2 linked regions of the Mus musculus genome follow. The protein of the gene in region 1 purifies or fractionates together with the protein of each later gene. This does not show direct contact. Links are inferred from orthologs where the notes say so. Each region holds a gene or a part of one and is shown on either strand. Other genes may lie near its edges.

Evidence for each region. The genes of interacting proteins can lie anywhere in the genome.
Region 2: the proteins of Rnf185 (region 1) and Erlin1 purify together in Homo sapiens (affinity purification with mass spectrometry; 3 studies listed by BioGRID and IntAct, with this or other methods). This does not show direct contact. The link is inferred for Mus musculus from reciprocal best matches to the Homo sapiens genes RNF185 and ERLIN1.

What each region holds. Positions count from the first base shown.
Region 1 is NC_000077.6:3,432,368-3,436,021, forward strand, and holds part of Rnf185 (E3 ubiquitin-protein ligase RNF185), read right to left. Parts: intron 254-3,654; coding exon of another isoform or gene 209-253; coding exon 33-208; intron 1-32. UniProt on the Homo sapiens protein: E3 ubiquitin-protein ligase that regulates selective mitochondrial autophagy by mediating 'Lys-63'-linked polyubiquitination of BNIP1.
Region 2 is NC_000085.6:44,038,752-44,042,405, forward strand, and holds part of Erlin1 (erlin-1), read right to left. Parts: intron 2,086-3,654; coding exon 1,996-2,085; intron 502-1,995; coding exon 422-501; intron 1-421. UniProt on the Homo sapiens protein: Component of the ERLIN1/ERLIN2 complex which mediates the endoplasmic reticulum-associated degradation (ERAD) of inositol 1,4,5-trisphosphate receptors (IP3Rs).

The DNA.
Region 1 (3,654 bases):
GTGTCCACAGAGATGGCAGGAAGGGTACTCACCAGAAGAGGTGGCCACACAGGCTGATGACAGCATCCTTGGCTGTGTCCAGGCATATGTTGCACTCAAAGGTGCTGTCCTGCCCTCCACTCTCACCAGTGCCATTGCTGCTGCCACTGGGCCCCCCTGCATTGGAATTCTCAGTGGATGCAGAGGCCGAAGGCCCTTTACTTGCCATGGCTGCTTGCCAGCAAAGCTTCCAGGGAAGATTCTCAAGACAATCCTGGAAGGCAGAAAGCACTTGATTGTCCATTGCTGCAGCCTACTTCCCTCAACTTCCAAGCCAATACCTCATCTTCTCTCAGCTATAAACTCTAACTATGATTGAACTGGGAGCTGACTTCCCAGAGGGCGGCAGGGACAGAAGCTCATGCACTCCTCATGAGTTGCTGATGGAAATGGCCCAAGAACACATCTCATAAAACACAAACTGCAAAAATGCAGAGCAACCTCTAGAAAGTTCTCAACACAGCTTTCCCATTTATATTTCCTGGATTAACCACAGCAGGTAATAAGTATTATTCTCCATTAAATATTAAATTGAACTGCCAAGGTATCTTTTTTTGTTTGTTTGTTTTTGTTTTTGTTTTTGAGACAGGGTTTCTCTTGTGTAGCCCTGGCTGTCCTGGAACTCACTCTGTAGACCAGGCTGGCCTCGAACTCAGAAATCCACCTGCCTCTTCCTCCCAAGTGCTGGGATTAAAGGCATGCGCCACCACTGCCCGGCCAAGCTATCTTTTAATTTTGGACAATTTATGTTGACTAGGAGAACAGAATCTACTCAAGATTATGACTGATATATGGCAGAATATAAAGAAATTCCTGTGACTGGGAAAGATTGGGAAGCTTGAAGCAGCCGATGATGATCTTTGGTACTTTCTGCCAGCTGGATACCACTTACCTTATTTTGTCTAAATATATCAACACACTTAAAAAGGAATTTATGCCAGTGAAGGAAAAGTTGTCCATCCCATACATCCCAAAGTCATCTGGGACACTCATGCTCTAGGCAGTCCTGGTCACTTCAGGAAGACTGAGTTAGCTGGCTGAGTGATTAGTGTGGGTTTGAGACCAGGACTCATGGTACACTATTTGTATTCAAATCACCACATCACCATAGCTAAGGCTGGTCACCAACTGCCAGTGAAAAACATATCATTATTGACCACCACTTCCAAATCAAAGAAAGCAAGCAAAGACAAAGAGACCCATACAAGGCATATCCAGGAATTCTGAGTGCACAATAAGAGCCTGTCAGGAGCTTCATATGGCTACCCTCATTAGTTCAGGAATTAGAAGCAGAAATACTGGGTGGCTACCATAGAGACCTAAAGACTCTGCCCAGCCTCCAGCCTGCTAGGAACCACACTTTTCCTGGCCATGCTTTTCTCAGGTATAAAATGAGGACTCACCACTGGGGTATCAGATCACCTTGACTTCAGCTTCCAAATAAAAAAAAAAATCAAGTCCCCACAGCTGGTTTTCTCAGACCAAGAAGCCTTCCCCTGCACCTTCACAGGACAGATTTAGAGCTTGGGGCTCATGAGCAACTCTCACTACAACTGCAGCTTAGCGACTAGGGCAGGGAGAGAGACCAGGTCTCTGCCACTTTTTCACTCAGTTACATCATTTTACGTGATGTCCCAGAAGGGCAGCTGGTTGCTGACGGTAGCAGTGTCTTGCTAGCCTCAGTTCCAAGACCTTCTTCATGGTCTAGAGTTTCCTCCTTTTCCTCTTTATAACCGTGTGTGTGTGTGTGTGTGTGTGTGTGTGTGTGTATTACTAGGGAGTAAATGTAGGCCCTTACAATGCTAGTTCAACACTGAGCACTCCATCACTATACAGATCCACAAGCCCCAGTGCTCCCTTCTGAGATCTACTTCATTTTATGTGTACTACTAACGCTCATCTGTTTTGTTTAACATTGGCAGAATTACTGTTAATTTTGTTGGGTTATAATCTTATCATGTAACTTTAAGTCAGGCCAACTCTGGGCCAATCAATGAGAGACTTAATCAAAAAACAAGGTAGATCACTCCAGAGGAAGGACACTCACATAGTTATACATGCACACGCATATACAGAGATTTTTTTTTTTAATTAAAGAATAGGATGTTTGGAATTTACTTTAAAATATTCCAGAATAAGGCTAGGGGGATGGTTCAGTCAGTAAAATGCTTCTTGTTTAAATGTGAAGATCTAAACCTGGGTTCCCAGCACCCACATGATGTAGACCAGGCCAGCCTCAAACTCACAGACCCACCTGCTCCTGCCTCCTCAGCTGGGATTAAAGGTATATATCACCATGTCCTGATGCATCACATTTTTAATATACTGCTTTTGAAATCAGGCTAGTATAGCAGTACCTATAATGTCTACATTTTCCTCAATCCTGAAAAGCTCTAAATTCAAATTCGACTCTAATACTGACTGACCATGGTTTAAATTTCTTTTCTCTGCAACGGGGATGTAGCACAGTTTGCAGAGAGTCTGCCAAGCATGCATAAAACAACTGGATTTCCAGCACCACTTAAAATAAGGCACAGTGGCATTTACCTATAATCTCAAAACTTAAAAGGTAGAAGCAGGTCGGGCAGTGGTGGCTCATGCCTGTAATCCCAGCACTTGGGAGGCAGAGGCAGGAGGATGTCTGAGTTCAAGGCCAGCCTGATCTACAAAGTGAGTTCCAGGATAGCCAGAGTTACACAGAGAAACCCTGTCTCAAAAAAAAAAAAAAAAAAAAAGAGGTAGAAGCAGGAGGATCTGAATGAAGTTCAAAGACATTCTTGGCTACATGTAAATCTGAGGTCAACCCAGGTTATATAAACTAACTAATTTCGTTTATCCCCTGAAAAGTAAGCACTGGGCTACCCAGATCAGTGATCTAGGGCAAACCTATGTAGGAGGGGCTACTGCCACATATGCAATACTTACAATCAACCCATCCTACCCGATCCAACAAGGCTCTGCATGGCTCATGCTACCACTCACAGGCATGTTGCAAAAACTGGGGTAAAGAGAGGTGTTAAGGTAGGAATAGTCAGGAGACAGCAAAAGGCCAGCTGAGAGTTTGCAGGGTATAATAGCCATGCAGCGACCCAAATACTGGGACATGACAACTCTGAACATCCCACACCACTCTTATCCTGACTCCCTTCTCCAGGCCTCATCCAAGTAGGCGCTCAGATAACTGCTGAATGAGTGAGTACAAGTGCGCATGACTGGTTACGGTCAACCGCCAGGCTGCCTGCTCACAAACCCCTTTGCAAGTCTGGGTTCCAAAGCCATATACTCATCTATGAAGCCTCTTCTCTACCTCCTCCCCAACCCCATGTGCAAAGAGAGATGAGCAGCATCGCTTTGGGGCTATCAGCTGAGCACCTACAGAGCAAAAAAATGTAGCCACAGCCTCATGGGACTTGTAGGACTAGGACAGTGGCCAGATAATATAGGTCCTGGTTGACTCGGACACTAGACTTCTACCTAGAATTAGAAGAAAATAGGGCCTGACCCTTGCTGAGCTGCTAAAGTCAATCTTGGTCCTTATAGAGCCTACAGACTCTGATCTTACCAATACAGCAACCTCACTGTGGCTGGTCTGGAACTTCTGGGCCTAGGTAATCA
Region 2 (3,654 bases), on another chromosome or scaffold:
GGAAAACTATCTTGCCCCAGAAGCTGCAAGGATGTCCCTGAGAGGAGGCAGTAAAGTTCAGTTTTTATCCTGAAAAGCTAACTTATCAGGAAAGCTATTCTAACTTAGTTTTCCTCTTTTTCTGTCATTTTCTCAAAAGATCTTCAACTTCTCAGAGCCCTTTCTTACAGGAGAGATGGATGGTTTCATGGCATTTGACCTGTGCTCATGAATCCACTAGTCTTTACTCCTTACTTTTAGAAAAACAGACAATGTTCCCTCCCTAACAATGGGTATCAATATGTCTTGCTATGTATTTGGTCAATGATGGGTTGGCCACTACCCTTTTCTGATACTGAATACAACTACTTCTACCACACTAGAACCCATGATATTGAATGCACACCAGAAGCAGTTACTAGGGAAGGGCATGGGCAGTCACCTTGTTTGAGGTGGCGTATTTGTGTGCAGCGTAATACTCGGCATCTGCTTTTGCCTTCTCTCGGGCCAGGAACGCAGCATCTAGCAAATAAAACGGTAACAGCATGTTTGCAATGAAAGAAAATTGCCACTCTATTCCCTCATCTGGGTAAGAGTATCTTTTTTACTGCTTAATATTTCAATTGTTTGCCTCACTGTAAGTTATAAATTTAACAACTTAAAAACTCTCAATCCTCAGAACAGCTCCTTTATAAGGGGAATTAAAGTTCATCACTGTTAACCAACAGCTCCTTTCTAAGTTAACTCATTTTCTGTTCTAAGTAGTTCCCTTGTCCTCCACCTCCCTCCAACTTCCCATCACCTAGAGCCTTACCCTCCACCCAGGAAGGGGTCAGGCAAAACAACTACAGGCCGAATCTAGAAACACAGAGAGATAAGAAAAAGCTATATATAAGCATAGACCATGGTCTAAGAACATCCACATTAGCTAGCATATGCAAGGCCCTGGGTTCAATAATGAACAGATCTACGTGATTACAGAGTTTTAGATTTTTCATTACAACTGGACTGTATCTTTTTCCCAGCTAATTTTTTTTTTTTTTTTTTTTTTTTTTGGTCAAGACAGGGTTTCTCTGTGTAGCCCTGGCTGTCCTGGAACTCACTGTGTAGACCAGGCTGGCCTTGAACTAAGAAATCTGCCTGCCTCTGCCTCCCAAGTGCTGGGATTAAAGGCGTGTGGCCCCAGCTAATTTGTTATTATTGCTGTTGACATGTGACAAACTGGTGGTGGTTCAGTTCATTATTTTGAACATCAAAAAATTATTTGTGTGTTTAATTTATGTGTTTAAATTATGTGTGTATGTGAGAGTAAGAGAAGAAAGACACACAGAGGGGGGAGGGGGAGGGAGAGAAGGAGAGAGAGAGAGATTGTACCCAAGAGACCATCTGGAGCTGTAGTTAGAGGCAGCTGAGTACTGCCTAAGCTAGGTTCTTAGAACTGAACTCAGATTCTCTTCGAGAGCCATACGTGTTCTTAAGTACCGAGCTATCTCCCCTGCCCTTACTGAGCACATGCCTAAAAGCTTTTCATTTCATTTCTTTTTTTTTTTTTTAATGTATGTGGGTATTTTACCAGCCATGTATCTCTGAGCATCATATGTATACAAAAGGGTGTTAGATCCCCTGGGGACTGGAATTAAAGATAGTTATGAACTATCACATGGGTCTGCGGATTGAACCTTGTCCTCTGGAAGAGTAGCCAGTGTTCTTAACCACTGAGCCATCTCTCTAGACACTTATTTTGTTTTAACAAAAGATTTTAAGGAATTCTTATACTTCATCAGAAAATATAGTAAGAGCTAAAAAAGCCTCATTGTAGAAAAGGAAATGAAAGTCACAGACTAAAGTGAGAACTAAATTACATAGGTTTTGTTGTTGTTTGTCTAGAGCATCAGGGTAGTTACTTCCTCCAGACCAGCATGTCCTATGTTTTTCCCCCACAAGACAATCAAGAACTGGTCCTGATGCAGAGAGGCAGTTCAGGACACTCAGAACTTCAGCCTTTCACTGTTGTACCTTCAATCTCAGAAATGCGTTTTTCAGTTTCTTTCTCCATCACTTTCTGTTGAAATCGAATTTTTGCTACTTGTGCAATCTTCTCTGCTTCTATAATAACACAACAAAGAGAAACACACTTAGAATCAGCAGTACAAAGTGCAACATTAATTACATGTGGCTTTATGTCTAACTGCTTCCAAGGTTTTATCTGTTCTGAAACGATTGAGAGGAAGGGAATTCCCTTCTTTCTTTGCTGTTCTAGTTTGGTGCTGTTCTTCTTTGTGGGAGGAAGGTTATAAAAGGTTAGCAGTTTCAGTCTTTCATGAGACTAGAAAACAACGGTTCACAGGCTAGAGGTAAAGACCGGTACAAAAGTGAAGCAGTACAAACTCATGGTGACAAAGGACAATGGCATATAGTGGCAAGGGAAAGGCAGAATTAGGGAAATTAAACAAGAGGACATGTTGTAGGAAACAATGGACATGACCTGGTAGGGATATGCCATGAAGCATAAAAGAAATTACATAGGGATAAAGGAAAAAACAAAACAAAAACCCTACATAGAGAGAGTCTACAGCCAGACAACAAAAGAGGACAACAGGAAGCCTGTGTTTTGAGTGACAGGATCACCAAGAAGATGACATAGGAAAAGAAGGACATGAGTTAGCAATGGAAACAAATGTTCACAGTGAGCACAGAAGCTGCCATACCCAAGTGCACACAGGGAAACTAAACACCTTTAGTGACCATCTGTCCTAACCAAAGCTCCCCAGACCAAACAGGAACGGTTCCAATTACACTTGAAAGTCTATCGACATAATTCTTAAAATAACATCTCAATTTTCCTTTTCAGATGAAGATTATGACAGCTATGGTCTTCTATGGTCACAGGTTTCTCATCTGAAGATTCAACCAAATACAGATGGAAAACACTCAGAACTTTAAAACAAGTGTGTACTGAACATAAAGATTCTTCTTGTCATCACTCCCTGAATGGTGTAGTATAACAACGGTTTCCGTAGAGCTTTCATTTAACAGGGATAAGTAAAGTATATGAGAGAATGCACCTATGTCAGATGAAACACATTCCATTTTCTATAAGGGGCTAAAATACTGTAGACTATGGTATGAAACCCCCCAAAGGCCCCAAAAGATACTTTAGCATATCTTGTCTCTGGCTTCTGGGGAGAAACATAAAATAAGAAAGAAAATTTCTAAACACTTTTATTTTTTTTTCCAGAAGACAGTACCCTTTATAAATTACCCCAGGACTTAATAGAGTGAAATTAATGTGTATTATTCTAGTTTAAAGATAAACTGCGATATACCACTCTCCATTTCATGGGAAGAAACCAATGAACAGCAAGATTTGGATTCCAGACAGAGGAATAGACAAAGGAGAAAATTCCTTTCAGGTATACCCGAAACTGTCATGGTAGACAATTGGTCTGCCTTAGAATGCACAGCAAGTTCATAGCAGGAACTAAACCCTCAAGGGCACAGAGAGAGAGAGAGAGCTGAGGATTTGTATGGTGGCAGCTACGGTGTGACTATTTCACAAGAAAGAGCGGCAAGTAGGCAATGCTCCAAACAGGAGCAGAAAGGCCTTGTACATTTGAACTGACTTCCAAATAAAACCAAGATCTCCAGAGGCTGCAACTCTAAGAGCCTGGACTA